2 linked regions of the Lonchura striata genome follow. The protein of the gene in region 1 binds, or shares a complex with, the protein of each later gene. Links are inferred from orthologs where the notes say so. Each region holds a gene or a part of one and is shown in the gene's direction. Other genes may lie near its edges.

Region 1 (8,017 bases):
CCCTGTTTTAAGACAGCAATTTAATGCTACAGGAACCCAGATAGGGCCCCTCTACAAATACCTCTTCACACTTTTAGGGCAATTTTTTAATGGCAGAATAAAGGGCTGAACTCCAGGAGATTGTCCTTCTTATTTTCTTCCTTTTTACTGAAGCCCTTACAAAGCAAGGAATCAGAAAAGTGCTCATTTTAGCAAAGTGTGTGATTTACCTCCAGTTCTGTATAATTAGCACAGCCAATAGAAGCTCACAGATAATCCTACTTAAGCAGTTGATTAGTACTTGATTTTTCAGGTGGATGAGCTAAACAGGTTTCTTTAGTACCAAAGGATATCTATAAAGTGAGGTGCTCCCCTTTGTACATGATGTGACATACAGGCATGCAAGGCAAAGCTGGTCTTCCCAGGAGTGCTCTTAGATTTGGCACTTCCAAAACACCATCCCTGTCATTTCTGTGTGTTGTTCTCTTTACAGAAAGTAATGGGGGGGGAGGCAATCAAAAGTGAAATAAAGAATTGAAGGATTAAAAATCTTGCCCCAATTACACTACTTTAATTAAAACATGATATCTATCAAAGTAATTTTGTTGTTTCCAGACAGCTACAAGCATGTTGGTTTCAAAAGGATCACTTTCATTGCTAGAAGCATAACATCAAACTTCTGATTAACAACCATTTGTACAGAACATAAAAAAATAATCCAGAAACAAGCAAAACTTACCCAACAGCAGGATTCACAGTTCTAATATAATCATAGCATCTTCCAATGAAAATACTTTCCAGGTTTTGAGTAGTACCTTCACCTTTCCATTTCTTTCCCTGCACTCCTGAGAAGCTGTTCATACAGAGAACAGAGACAAAGAAAAGAGGATAAAAAAGGCTCACCATCATGAATTCCTGACAATCCAAATTCTTAAAAGGAAAAAACCCCAAAGAAATAAAAAAGTAGAGTTCAATGATACAATTTAAATGGAAACCTGCAGTCTGAACGTTTAATATTTTTAGTACTAGCTACAACTCAGTACACAAGACAAAAGCGGGAAAAAAAACCTTGCTGGAAACTATAACCTATTTCCTGGAACGATTGCAGCACAGAGATACATCACTTCCTTGTGTCTAAACTATTCCTCACTTCAGAAAAAACGAAAAAGTTTGAAGGCCACCTGGTGATAACTGAAGAGAATTGCAGTATATCTCTGCAAAGGGAAGAAAAAAAACCCCTTACCACTTCAATACTTAGGATGCCTTTGGTTCGCTTAATACTCGTTGCTGTGCTACACATTTTGGTGTGATGATATGTGCACCATGTCTTTGTGAAAAAAACCTGCCTTGCAGTCATGAATCAATCATAACGAGAAACATAAGGATTACAACTTATATCTTGTGCACTGAACAAATGTCTTCAGCTTCTGCTGTCACTCTTCTCCAGGTTCTTTCTCCTAAGTACTCTGTTAGAACAACAAAAGGCACCAATCAGTCTAATCTTCAGAATATTCACTGGTACACACTGCTGTAAATACAGCCACATTGGGTTTTTTACCTTAAAAGAATAAATTCAACCTCCAAGTATTTTGTATTCAACCTCCAAGTATTTTGTATTCAAGCTCCAAGTATTTTTGCACTCACATTTCTCAGGAGCATGCTGGTTCTTTTCTTTCTTTCTTTCTTTCTTTCTTTCTTTCTTTCTTTCTTTCTTGTGTACTTATTTCTGTAGTGTCCCACTTCTGTTTATGCACTGGTACTCAGCTGGTGGATTTTGCTGAGGGAAAAATCTTGCTAATCATTGAGTAAATTCCTGATGATGGATTTCTACTATAAATCTGACAAAAAATAGCCAATTGGTTGCTACCTGTTGCTTCTCTAATGTTTTTTCTTCCTATTTCTCTTCCTAACCTCTCTATGTCCATGCTGATAGGGCATCAGAACAATAATCAAATGGTTTCAAGCCAATATTTTGGATTCAGGATTAGAGAGTGCAATAGTCCATGGAAGTCACTGAACATTTTATTTTATTATTAACTTAGCTGCAACCAAATTTTGCTCAGTAATTTCAGGGTCTAACAGAAGCCAGAATGTGATGTGAATCTTAAATGTGCAGAAATTGTCACTGATTTTTGCATCAAGGCTAGAACTTTTGCTTGAAATATACAGTATAAGTTAAGAAGTCATACAGATAGACACTGAACGTTTCTCCAAGTACACACTAGGTTAGGACACAGCACCTTGGGGAAGAAGATGTGGGCTCCCTAACAAATAGACAACCTGTCATAACATCCCAGAGGAACTGGATCCAAGAGTTGTTGGGAACCCCATTTCAACTCCTATCAAGCTTCCTTTCCTCACTGGTAACTTTTAGAAATACAACATCAGGCCAGAGGGCCTCTGATCCCACTCAGCACAGCCATTTTTAATTAGTGTTCTAGTTTTGTTCTAAATACTTCACATGAGGGCTAGATTAACAACCTGCAGGGTTCCAGTGGTTTGATAACCTTGAGAGTAAAACCTTAGCTCTGAACTTATCTTCTTCTAGCTCCCAGTCACTGAATCTCATGATATCTTTTGCTGTTACATTAATGAAGAATCCATCATCAGAACCATCCTTCCATGCAAATTCTTGTAAAAAATTACCAAGTCTACCCTTAAACTAGTCCATGAAAATTCAGTATTTTAATCCCTTTATCAGGTATTTTTTCTTGTAGTATTGCAATTCACTGCCACAAACTGGCTGCCCATCTTGCCTCCTGAGGTCTAGCAATTCATGGTGGATGCAGATCACTGTTCCTCGCTCTCTGTCCCTCTCTCCTAGAAGATGCTATTGCCCATGAAGAAACGTCAGAAAATTGGCAGCATATCTGCTCTGGAGATACTGTAGTTCACAGACTCAATATTAATCCAAACAACCATGAAATTCAACATATGTTTACATTCTGAACCCCAGAAGATGAGGAGCCAACATGTTCTTTCCTGTTATTTCTATCACAGGGGAGTGGTAAGTTCCAGCAGTAGGAAGGTGTAACAGACAGTAACATTAATCCTCTGTTACTACTCACACATGAATTTCTGGCAGAATAACCTCAATTCTGCATGACCACATGCTTTAGGCCTGGTAATAGAACCTCATATTCACAAGCTCCTCTGTAAGCAATGAACTTCAAACTTTGTTTCTTAAGGGTTTGTGTCTTCAGTGTGTTAAGTCTACCTACAGCAGTAACACAAGATCTCGCCTGCTCCCTTGTGTGCCAGGGCACACTCTCTATGAAAGACATGCTCAAGCTCAAACCCAGAGCTCTGCTCACTTGCCAAGCTGTAAACACAGCTGTGTGCTGGCTAGCCAGCTGCATAACACCTGTGCTTTGCCTTCCTTTCTTCCCTCCTGGGAACCTGCTTTTTTTTTTTCCCAACCCAAAGTTGTAAGAATTTAACCTTCCAAGTTTCGTGCATATTTGCAAATATGGCAAAGTAGGTCAGTGTGTTCAAAAGTCCTTCGAGGAGGAAAGGATTCATGGAAAAGGAAACGCCCAGTACCGCAATTGCTTGGGACTAATTTCCTTAGATAAAGAGATAAAGAGATTATTGTGCACAGTGTCAGCTAAGTAACACACAATGTGAGCTCTTCTGCTTAGTTCACTACTTACTTCTTTTACCAGCATTTTATTCCCAACATTAGTATGTTGAGAAATACCGGACTAAAAACTCACATGACTTTCCTGAAAATATTTCAACATGTTTACAATGAATTGCTTACACCTATGACCTCGCTAGCTCAAATACGTTTAATATCTGCAACATAGACTTTGTTCAGTTTTCAGTCAGAAAGGCCTGCTGCATCTATTGTATGTTTGACAAAGAATTTTGGTGACATTTACTGAACATTGCAATGCTGGTCAACAGTTTTACAACACTACATGCTGGTTGACAGTTACAGATTTTGTCAAATGGATGTGCAATCTCAACTTGGCCCAGTGTTCCTGCTTACTTTGAAATGTTGCACAAGCAGATCAGTATGATAGGCAGGTGTTTTTGGTTCATTTGCCTTGGAAGTTAAACAAACACACTTAACTTTACTTGTTTGGCACAAATGCTGCAAAAGGTTGGGTGCAGATTCCGTGCTGCAGCAGATACAAATAACTTGCCTAGGACCTTCTTGATGAGGTCACACTGCAAATCCTGTGTCCAGCTCTGTGCCCCCCAGTTCAGGAAGGACACTGAGGTGCTTGAGCATGTCCAGAGAAGGGCAGCAAAGCACAAGTCCTGTGAGGAGCAGCTGAGGGAGCTGCAGGTGTTTAGCCTGGAGACCAAGGGGGACCTCAATGCTCTCTGCAAACACCTGAGAGGAGTTTGTAGCCAGGTAGGGGTCGGTCGATTCTCGCAGGCAAATAGCAATAGGACAAGACACAGTCTGAAACTGCTCCAGGGGATGTTCTAGGTTGGACATGAGGAAGAATTTCTTCACAGGAAGGATGATTAGACATCGGAATGGGTTGCCGTGGGAGGTGACGGAGTCACCATTCCCGGAGGCGTCTTTAAGGAAAGACGACGTGGCACTCGGTGCCGTGGTCTAGCAGACAAGGTGCTCGGTCAGGGGCTGGAGCCCATGACCCCAGAGGTCTTTTCCAACCCGACTGATTCTGTAAGTGCTTTTTACATCCACAAGCTGCCACCCTGGCGCTGCCAAGGCATCGGGTGTGAAGTCACACAGCGCTGCAGCTCGCCGGGACGGGCCCAGCGCGGTGCCCCCGGGCGGGAGCGCATTCCGCAGCGGGGCCCGGGCGGGCGGGCCCGGCGCCGCCGCGCCCCGCGGCAAGGGGCGGGGCCAGCCGCGCACGCGCGGGGCGGTGGCCGCGGTCACGCGGGGCGGGCGCACGCGCGGTGCGGACGCTCGCGCCGCCGTTCGCGCCGCCGTTCGCGGCGCGGCTCCATGGGGAGAACATGGCTCCCTTCCCCGAGGAGGTGGACGTGTTCTCCGCCCCGCACTGGCGCATGAAGCAGCTCGTGGGACTCTACTGCGACAAGGTAGCGGGCCCCGCGCCGCTGCCCCGGGGCGGGAGGGAGGGTTTGGGGAGTGCGTAGCTGTCAGCGCCCTGGCCCCGCCGGTAACTTCTGCCCTGCGCTGCCGAGGGGTTCCTGAGCGCCTCACGGGCTGCCGGTGCCGCTCCGCGGCCGCGCAGGGCTGAGGCTGCCCTGGCTGCCGTGCCGGGCCGGCCGGCAGGAGCCGTGTCCCGCTCGGAGGGGCGGTGGTGCCGCTCAGGGAACGCGCCCCCGCCCGGGCAGCCCGGCAGAGCCCCCCGGGCAGCCCGGCAGAGCCCCCCGGGCCCGGCAGAGCCCCCCGGGCAGCCCGGCAGAGCCCCCCGGGCCCGGCAGAGCCCCCCGGGCCCGGCAGAGCCCCCCGGGCCCGGCAGAGCCCCCCGGGCAGCCCGGCAGAGCCCCCCGGGCCCGGCAGAGCCCCCCGGGCAGCCCGGCAGAGCCCCCCGGGCAGCCCGGCAGAGCCCCCCGGGCCCGGCAGAGCCCCCCGGGCAGCCCGGCAGAGCCCCCCGGGCAGCCCGGCAGAGCCCCCCGGGCAGCCCGGCAGAGCCCCCCGGGCCCGGCAGAGCCCCCCGGGCAGCCCGGCAGAGCCCCCCGGGCCCGGCAGAGCCCCCCGGGCAGCCCGGCAGAGCCCCCCGGGCAGCCCGGCAGAGCCCCCCGGGCAGCCCGGCAGAGCCCCCCGGGCCCGGCAGAGCCCCCCGGGCCCGGCAGAGCCCCCCGGGCCCGGCAGAGCCCCCCGGGCAGCCCGGCAGAGCCCCCCGGGCAGCCCGGCAGAGCCCCCCGGGCCCGGCAGAGCCCCCCGGGCCCGGCAGAGCCCCCCGGGCCCGGCAGAGCCCCCCGGCCCGGCGCTCCCGCCCGGGCAGCGCGGCCCGGCAGCGTTTGCCAGGCAGGCAGGGCGCGGGACTGTGCTTGCGGGTCTGTGCGCAGCCTTCTGCTGGTGAGTGGCGTAAAGGTACCCTAGGTACGTTCTTTTATTTTAAATATATGTAATTTTGGTCATGGACAAAAGTAATTTTTATTCTTGCATCACGGTAGTTAAATAATCAAGGCTGATGTGTCACCTGAAAGACAAACTTCCCTGTAGCAGCTTTGAGTGTTGTAGGAGGGTTTTGGGCGAATACTTCACAGCCAGCACTCCTACTGCAAGAAGTTTTGCCTCCCATCTCCGGGCATAAATGGCTGTTTGGAGAAGCCAGATTGGCTACAGACATTTAAAAGAGCGGTGCAGTTGCATGAGAGGCAGTTACCATAGTTTACTGCTGCCAGCAGCATGGGGGAGTTCATGCTTCCCTGTTTCCACATGGCACCTTGCACTGCTCTGGGATTCACCAGATCCTTTGGTGTGCCTCTTCCATTTGATAATAGGTTAAAGAAAACCTAGAGCTGTTTTTTGCAGGATTTGCTAACTGGACATAGAGTCTAGGAGGAGCAGAAGCGATGTCCTTATATAGTTTCCTTCACTTTGCTTTTTATTTGAGAGTATATTTGCAATCAACTGAATCTGCGGCAGCAGAAAAAATTGTGGTATCATAACAGAGTGGATTTTATTTGAATGGAAACAAACACCCCCACTGACTTCTGGTAGCTGTTTCAGTGTGTTGTTGACAGTAGCTGAACAGGTTTCATTTAAACATCCAGATCTTGTAGTCACTTAGGTTTTGTTCCTAGAGAGGCATTTTTATCACTTTTATTGAGCCTCCCACAAAGTTTTGACCCAAGTTTACCATGCCTACTAAAACTTCCTGGGGAGCAATTACTGGTTTTCCTGAATATTGAAAAATTTGATAAAACTATTTGTAATGTTCATAACCTTTCATTTTATAAAAGTTTTTATACAGGAATTTTCTTGCTCCCTTTTTCTTTTGAATAAGAGCAAGCCTGAATGAATGTCACTTTTTTTGAAAAGTGTTCAGTTTTACGTCCTTTAACCCTGTTGCAGAAGTTGAGGTGTGTGCCTTGACTGTGAGTTTTTATAATGCCAGCTTTGCACCAGAAAAACTTCCAGTTTTTGAATTTCCTTCTTGTGTGATTGTGATGCTGCAATTAGGTAAGTCTGTAGTTCTGCTTACATGGCAGGTGTAATCTCTAAAGCCATGCTCTGGATAAGTTTAGTTTGACCTTGAGGGTTCTTTAATGTTGTGAATTACATATTATCTGTGTTCATTGGGTTCTCTGCACACTGTCATATAGTTGCTGCTTGTGTCTGAATGAAGTAAATTCCACAGAATATTAATAAGGGTGACATGGGGTCATCCATCTTTGCTTCTCAGGAGAACAATTACATTGTTTCCAATGGATAAAGTACATAGGAACTTAAATAATCCTTTAGGACAGAGATACACAGTTTATTTTGTTCTTCCAGGACTTCATGTGAGACAGAACAGTTAAATTGGAATTTAAGCTGTTTAGTGCTTTAGCTACGCTTTTAGCTGTTGCTAGTGAAGATCTCCCTGTCCCTTGCTGCATTCTTAAATGGCATTTTTACCTGTGTTGCATACACTGCCCTGGACTTGGATAATATGAGTAATTAGAATTATGTTTAATAAGGAGATCCACACTGTTGCCAAATCTGTCTCCTACTCTAGTGAGAAGAAAATTCGTTAAGTGTTGTGAGGATGTCCCCCCTGTAGGTAGTGGAGTGCTACAGCAGACAGTCTGTATAACTGAAATGCTTGTCCTAATGCCTTACGTCATCTTTGCTACAAATAGAGCAGATTCTGTTTTCCCATCTCTAGTGAACCGTTCTTAGTTTGCAGAAAGATCTTGTGCCGATTTGCAATTGTGGCTGTGTCCTCCATCTTAGTTATGTTCTCTGGCTTCAGCAAACAGATTCATTCTGCTTCATCACGTGGGTCACGCTTGCTGTACTTCAGTGTACTTGTTGCTTTTGTTAGAGCTAAGCTGCCATTCTCTAACAGTTTAAACCATCTGACTGATGCTGTTATGTTTGCCTGCCTCTCTTGCTCCCATCAGTGCTTGAGGTGACTCAGGCTCCAAA
Region 2 (7,885 bases), on another chromosome or scaffold:
GGATAAATATAATTATTCATAAATAATACAGCCAGGATGAGAACAGTCCTCCCTGCTGGCTGGACAATGCCCTTACCTACAGGTAAGTCCAAAAATCAAGTGGACTGTTCCATCTCACCCCCCAAAATGTATGGTTGACCTCGCACCTGTAACCCTCCCCTAAAACATCAAGTGCCTGTAAACCCATTGGCCCAAGTCTTTTCCAGCCAAACTTGAAGCCCCCTGATAAGGGGTCTCCGGGGGGCCAGACGCTCTCTTGGAACTTCCCCTCCTCTTAGGACCTCCACCCTCTCCTAGAGCATCCTCTTGTCTCTCCCCCATCCCCTCAAGCCTTGACACGTGCTGCGTCTGGCAGCCCCAAGCAAGACCTTTCTGCATCCCTAATAAACCTGATATCCTAAGAGCAGCCTTCAGAGATCTCTTGTCTCCATTCATCTAAACCGTCCTGGAGCACAGCGCTCCCTACAGTCTCTCCTTGTGGACCTGGGCTTCCCACCTCCAGTAAAAGTGTGTTTGACATTATTTAGGCAGAATGTTTTCTGCTCCCACAGATTTTTCTCCTAGTATGCCTCATAGGTCTATGGAACTCTTACCCAGTGCTGACTTGAGGACCATTTTCTCAGACAGAGGATACCATGTTCCTAGCTCACAGTGTTGACAATTTGTAGGAAGGAGGGGTATGGTTTTGAGTGGTCATCAGCTTCAAGAGTTGGGGATTATCTTGCTAAAAGTCTCAAACAGTTCACTATATTAAGAAGTCCTGAGTACACCTCCAACACCTCTCTGTCCTTTGGGTCACAATGACTGAGCTCAAAGCACAACTTGCTGCAAGCCACATCCCACATCTCCAGAAAACAAAGAGGCTTGTCCTGCTGTGGATGTTTCTGTGGATGACTGAGGATTGTCAGATGTGGATGAGCTGTCATCATATTAGATACAGTTAATAGCAACCAGCAGTTAAAAGGAGTTTCACCACCATCCATACTTATGCACTCGGGAAGTGCATTGCATAGTGCTGAAGGGTGTTTCTTAATGATTGTTCTTACCAACTGTCAGTAAATCCCCTAAATTGCTTTCTTGTGGATGTATGCAGTGTGTTCCCTGCTGCCATCCCTCTCTGAAGGAATGAAGCTCTTGGCCCTCTGCAGCTGGGATGCACCCAGCAGTGATGCCCAGCATTCCACCCCCACTACAAACTGCACCCCCCCACACCTTCTTTCCTGCAGGTGTGAGAAATGCCCCTACTGGTACTTGCCAAATGAAGTTTTCTCCTGCAGTGAGTGAGGAAAGAAAGCCATTTGGCTCTCCAGAACCCAAGCACATGGCAGGTGACCACTGCCTTCCTGAGAAGGAAAACATTTGTTCCCAGAGGCCAGCAGTGCCTGAGCTTGCAAAAAATCCTGAGGTAAGAAAGCTGAACTGTGCCTCCCATCTCCCTTTCCAGCAGCGTTGAGGAAAGAAGGCAACAGACGCCATCCATTTAAAACAAGCGTGTCAGTAACAACCACAGCCTGAACCAAACCAGATGTGATCTCTAGGGCTGTTAAGCCTGATACTGCACAGACTGCTCTAAGAACTGGGTAGTGTAGCTTGAGATTCCCCAGTTGCTTGTTGCACTTCCTGAAATGAAGACCTCAGGCTCACAACTCAGAGTTCAATTAATATGCCATCAGCACAAAAGAGTCCTTCTTCTTCCTGACATCTCTGGGAAAAGACTTTGCACTCATTTAGACTCTGTTAACTAACTAGAAAAGGCTTTTTTTCAAGCTCCCTAATGATACAGGAGGCTCAACAGTGCTGCAACCTGAAAATAGGTGCCTGGCTTCAGATTAGCCAAAGTTCAGCATCCTATTCCTCTGTTAGATGATTGGAAGTAAGCATGTTTACTGAATTTCGCTCTTGGTACTAATGAACTCCTCACAGCAAGTCTGTTCTCCCAAACACAGTTTCTGCAGGATACTGTACACAAGCACTTCTCTCACATGTAAAAATCATCTTGAACACCTTTCCTCCACTTGGAGAAGAAAATGTACTGAGCTCAGAAATAAGTTTTGAAAATTTGAGCCTCTTCATATACCCAACTTTAGAACAGCTCATGTGCTATCTCTAGATATTCATGAGACAGCATTATCATCTGATTTACTAAGAGTTTGCTGAATGCTGGGAGGGACTTGTAGAAGGGTGTTAGAGTTGTGTACTTCTGTTTGAATGGCAGCTCTTGTAAGAAGAGATTGAAACTGATTTTTTTATTTTCTGAGTGCCAGCACTTTAGATGAAAAATTATGACAGCAACTTCAATTGCCAGCAGTGAATCAATTAATAAACACCAGTCTGAGATAACAAATATTCAGGGTATGAGAAATTTAGTGGAGCCTTAGCATGAGTAAGGAACTTGACTTTTAGTGTCTTTCATGACAGGGGCTCACACAGCACACACTTGTTGCCATACCCTTGTGTCAAGAAATGCTTTTTCCTTTGGCAGTTATCAATCTACTTACTTTGACATAAGGGACAAAAAAGCAAAGCTTACATTCATATTCTTGAAGATGACATGGTAGCACTGAGGATACTGTATTTTAAAAAATTAATTTACAGAAGCAAAGATTGTATCTTAGACCATGTGGTGTCAAAACTAAATATTCAGTCATGTTCTTACTGAAGTATCCAATCTGCCATGTTCTTAGTTTACATCTCACCTAATTCCTGTGGCTTTGCTGCTGTGGCACAAGACACAGGAGAATGCGACCACTTGATTTTCTTACAAATTGTGCAATCTGAATTTTACAAACCTTTGTTTCAGTTTGTTACTGAAATGTGACAATGTCAAAATATCTTTGTGATCTTTTTAATCAGCTGCCCCAACTTTGACTATGCTTAGATATTGTGTCTTACCCACTCTGTACCTTCACCTGTGGATTTTAGACTCGATGGACTGACCTAAATTTCTTAAATAAATATTCTAAAGAGGTTTCTCAAATTTTCTTTCTAAATCTCATGTATTCATTCAATTGGAAGAAAATGAGGTTGCTGTGTTATTTTTTCCATCTATAGGTAGTTATGTACAGTTTTACTCCTTTCCTCTAAAGATGTCTCACTGCCTCACAAGAGCAGTGTAAGATTTAGTGCATCTAAGCTTCAAGTACAGCAGTCATATGGAAGCCAGGATTAGAAGCAGTTTGATTCAAAGGGCTGTACTTCAAACTCCTGCATCAACCTGCTTCTCCTGCAGAGGAATGGATGCTGTGGATGTTGTTTGGTTGTCACTGCTATTGCCTTTCTTCTGTCTTCATAGGGAAAACAGAGGAAAACAAAAGAAGGGCACAACTACAAAAGCTGTGTCTTGCACTACACTGGGTTCCCTCCAGCTTGCTGTGGTCTCTTTTGTGTGACAGTGCTGTGGAACACAGACCTGAGAGCAATATTTAGCTCAGCTTTTTCCACAGCAAAACTGCTTTCTCTGTTTAACAGCTGAAATATGGTGAACAGCAATATTGAAATTCTTTCTAATGGAGTGACTGCCTTTCACACAAGTAGCATAACATAATTCCCTCTTACTCACATTCTCTTCTTCACTAAGACTCTGCTTAGCCTGCTTCTGTCAGCTCTAATTACAAACCAGCGATAAACCATCCTCGCTTTCTTCTGGATAAGTTCTCCCTTGAATTTGACTTATTTCAGGATGTCAGATGCCAGTTGGGAAATGGAAAATACATTCTGGAAACTTCAAAACCTTCGTTCCTAGACAGTTACACATTTCCTTAAGGGACTTAATTCTAGAAGAATCACACAAAAAATAGTAAGCAGAACAGTGCAGTAGCTCAGGTGGTTATAAGCAAAAAGAAAGTTTTCAGTATAAAATGAAAGCCAAACATTGTGTTAAAACCAAATACATATGCAATTTGCTTTCCAAGAATCTGTCTGGTATGTAGGAAGGACACAAACCTCTAAATATTTAGGGTTAAAGGATTTCACATGTGAGCAAGAAATACTCCATGCTGCCTAAGATTCCTTCCTCTGGATGTGCCTGACACACAGAAGTCAGCCTTCAGCCAGCAAAGGGAGATAACCAGCAGCCGTTTATTCACTGGCATCCTGAGGACTGAGCCCGGCGAGCTGGGGTGTCTTTGGCAAAGGAGAACAACTGGTGAGTGATGGTTCGGCACATCCCTGGACTTGATGATCTCAGAAGTCTCTTCCAACCTCGTTATTCTGTGATTCTGTGTTCCGGGCGTTGCTGCTGGGCCCGCAGGCTCCGCAGGGCTCCGCTGGGCGCTGCCCCGCCCCGAGTGCGAGCTGCGAGCTGCGGGGCCAGGCTGGCAGGGAGGAGGCGCTGCGGGAGCTCGCAACGCGTTCCGCTACCTGAAAGGGTCCTACAGGGAAGGTGGGCAGGAACTATGGTGATAGGACAAGGGGGAATGGGTACAAATTCAAAAGGGGAAATTTAGATGAGATGTTAGGAAGACATTCTTTACTGTGAGGGTGGAGAGGCGCTGGAACACGCTTTCCAGGGACACTGTGTATGCATCGTCCCTGGAAGCGTTCAACGTCAGGTCGGATGGAGCTTAAAATGGGAGCGTATGATCCTTCGGGCGCAACCGCGCCCCTCGGCCTCGCGCCGAGCGGCGGCCGCAGCGCCGCGGGGCCGCGCCCGGGGCTGGGTCCGGCCGGGCCCGGGAGCCCCCGAGCCCCGCCCGCCCCGGCCCCGCGCGGCCACGCCCCCTCACTGTCCCGCCCCCGGCGCGTCCCGGCCGGCAGCTCCGCCCGCGCGCTCGTCACTGTTATCGCGAGAGCAGCGGCTGCCCGCTCCCGGCTACTTCCGCCCTCTCCGCCAAGCCTCGCGCGATCTCGTGCCCTTTCCTCCTGAGCAGGGCGCACAGTCTCGCGAGAGCGCGGCGTGCTGCGGCCGCGGGGTGGGGCGCCGGGCGCAGTCTCGCGAGAGCTGCCGGCCCGCCGGCGCCCCCCGGCCCGCTCCCTCGCGCTGACATGGTCGCCGGCGATGGACCCTCCCAGAGCAGGTCGGTCACCGCGGGGACGGCCCACGCCCCCGCCCGCCGCGACACCGCGGCCCGGGACATCGCCTCGCCGCCGAACGGCGCCGTACCGGGCCACGGGAGTCCCTGCGGGGGACAGCGGGCCCGTCCCCGCCCCGCTGTCTGCTCTCTCCCGGGGGTTATTTACTCCGAGCACCTAATGGCTGCTACGAGCTTTATTTTCGTGTCTTGTTCCCTTGACGTTGGCTTGGCAGTCAATGCTTTGTGCTTCCTGCTGTATTAAAACCCGTGTCTCTTATCTGCGCTGGTGAGGTGTCTGATCCTGTGTGTAGATGGCAAACTGAGACAACAAAGGTCAGGTGTGTTCAGGCTGTGCTGGCGACCTGCACTGACCTGCATGTACCTACTATCAGTGCTGCTTTTAAAATTCACCTTAGTCACACATCTACCTCACGAGGTATCTCAATCCGTTTAGAAACCTTTCCGTGTTGCTTCTAATTACAGTCTAGAGAAACGTTATTTCTGGCAGAATGAGAAGTAAAATCTCTTTTTGTGAATCCTCAGTCAGCGCTGAAACCACCCGTTGTTTTGTGGCTGTAACTCTGGTTGTTTCGTCCCGCAGGAAGCCCTTACCAGCCCGCCATTGAAGCTTTGCAAAGCCACCCAGAGAAAAAGTTTTACAATGTGTCGAAGCTCGGAGGCGCCAAGTACGGTACGATGCTCTCCGGGGTAATCGGGGTGGTACCAGCCGCAAGCTGCACCACTGGTGCCCTGCGGTGGCAGGAGATGCAGTCGGGAATTTCTAATGGGTGTGTTTGGAAGCTGATGATATCCCGATTTCTTAGTGTTTTAAGGAGTTTGCAGGGGTAATACTTGTAGATCTTATTTACTAAGGGAGAAAGTGCAGGTCTTTCTGCAGTTTTCAACAGTATTCCAAATCAGAAGAATTACTCACTTTGGAAAAAAAAAAATTAAGTGACAAAGAACTCTAATGCTTCCAAAATAAATGCAGCTTTTTCTGTAGTTCTGTATAGCTTCATGGTGTTCTAGTTTCTCCTCCCCAGCAGCCTCACATAGTGGGTGACTGCCAGAACATGGCTCCTGCTGCAGGGTGAGGTTTAGTGGTGCTCACGCTGTTGCTTAATCTCAGCTTGTCATTAGTATGCAATGGCTGTCTGTGCCAGTGAGACCTTCATCGGGTCTCTGTGTCCAAGTGCTTTTCACAGTGTTGCACGTGTGGTGGGAGGGGAGTCCACACCGGGAGGGAGCTTTGCTCGCTGCCAGCTGGAACGGCTTTAGTCTTGCAGGTAATCAAAGCATGCTGGCATTATTCTCTCCCTTTGTCTTCATGTTAAACTGAACTACTTATATGGGCTACTTCGTAAAGGCACTTGGGCTATTTTTTTTTTCCAGTTTTGCAAGGTCTGAATCTTCTATATTCACAGAATTTGTGCTATGCTTCTTGAATTAAAAAAAAAAAAATCATTGGATATTTCACTTTAAACCCATATTTGAACACAATTATTAATTCCATGTTGTTTAAAGAGAATGGGGGGGGGTACAGCTGTGTGCTCTTGCAATTTTTCCCTGCTTGTAGTAAAAAAGTCAGTCTTTCAAATAAGCACACATGGAGGAAACAGTGCTTGGTCCAGGAAGAAGCAGTGCTGTGCTAGTAACAAAACCAGGCAGTTCTACAGCAGTTTTGTGGAAAGCCTCATGACAGGAGTGGAACTAAAACAATATACAACTTTCTGCTGCTTGCAGTAGCAATGGGTATTCCTGAACATACTGTCAGGAATCTAAACAGACTGTGCTAACAGGGTCCTTGTCTTCCAATAGAAACTTCTGTGCAGAAGCTGGAAGCCTCATGTTAGCTTCAAGGTAGCAAAATACTAAATAACATCTAGACATGGGACAGCACTGGTAACAAATCGAGCATCTGGAATTGCTCACTGCATTTGTTGCTAGAACAGTTTGAGTTTTACCTGTCTGGCTGTAATTTGACATTAATTGCCGGTTTATATTAATCAGATTACTAATGTAAATGTTAATTGGTTTAGTTACCAGTTTTCTAGTGTTTTAAGACTTACGGAGAAAATGAGAAGAGCTCAAAAGGATTTAGGGCAGAGAGGACATGTGGAGATTTAGACCAGGCTCTTGCTGGGGCTGGAGCTCATGTGGGGAATCTTCCATGATTAAGCTGTGCCAGTCTGGGAGGACAGAGATTCCACTGCCTCCATGGTACTGTGCCTGTCCGTGCTGCTTTTCCCTCGTGCCCAGTGCCCGTGTCCCTTCCTGCGCTGCTGCGAAGTCCCGCCTCCCCCTGGCTGCGGGCCCGGGAGGCCCGGTCAGATCTGCCGTCCCCGGGGGCTCGCCAGCCAGCGCTGCCTGCAGCTCCTGTGTCCGGCAGTCCCGGCGGCTCCCAAGGGCCCTGTGCCGGGTGTCATCTCATGGCTGGAGCTGTCCTGTACCCTGGAAGCCCCAGACTGCTCTGTGTTGCACATAGGACCTGCTGGTGCAGTGCGATTTTTTAACCCACAAGAAAGCAAACAAGTTCTTCTCTGGGAATCTGGCTTTTAAATCAAGAGAGTGGGGGCATGAAGGTTCATGAGACCTTTTGGATGACATCTTTATACTCAAATTTAATCAAATCTTAAACTCAAAATAGCGACTTGTCTAATTAGACAATAGTGGATATTATCTCACAAAGACACAGTGAAAACAGAGTCAGCAAGTTCTATAGTAGTTTGTGAACAATCAATTAAATTAGGCTGAGACCACTAAATTTATTTTTTTTTTATTAAAGCCAGAACTTAATTATTTCTCATTCCTTCCCTAACTTTCCTTAGGATTTCTCACTGTTCTTACGAAGCTAACTGCCTGCTTGAATTATG

Evidence for each region.
Region 2: the proteins of FBXL5 (region 1) and IREB2 are in contact, whole or in part, in a cryo-EM structure (PDB 6VCD), measured with the Homo sapiens proteins. The link is inferred for Lonchura striata from reciprocal best matches to the Homo sapiens genes FBXL5 and IREB2. Residues at the interface, in NP_036293.1 of Homo sapiens: Asp656, Glu657, Tyr661, Cys662, Asp663, Asn664, Ile665, His669, Ala670, Asp671, Thr672, Ala673, Ser674, Gly675, Cys676, Gln677, Asn678, Leu679, Gln680, Cys687, Arg688, Ser689, Gly690, Glu691; in NP_004127.2 of Homo sapiens: Asp89, Phe90, Ser129, Asn217, Val220, Glu221, Arg224, Arg228, Ala758, Gly759, Ser760, Arg763, Asn764, Thr777, Pro778, Arg779, Asn782, Ser783, Tyr784, Gly785, Ala786, Arg788.

Annotation. Positions count from the first base shown.
Region 1 is NC_134606.1:15,166,524-15,174,540, reverse strand, and holds the start of FBXL5 (F-box/LRR-repeat protein 5), read left to right. Parts: upstream 1-4,847; 5' UTR 4,848-4,926; coding exon 4,927-5,010; intron 5,011-8,017. Other genes in the region: BST1 (ADP-ribosyl cyclase/cyclic ADP-ribose hydrolase 2), read right to left, coding at 719-888.
Region 2 is NC_134613.1:4,460,825-4,468,709, forward strand, and holds the start of IREB2 (iron-responsive element-binding protein 2), read left to right. Parts: upstream 1-4,787; 5' UTR 4,788-4,996; coding exon 4,997-5,015; intron 5,016-5,613; coding exon 5,614-5,703; intron 5,704-7,885. UniProt on the Homo sapiens protein: RNA-binding protein that binds to iron-responsive elements (IRES), which are stem-loop structures found in the 5'-UTR of ferritin, and delta aminolevulinic acid synthase mRNAs, and in the 3'-UTR of transferrin receptor mRNA.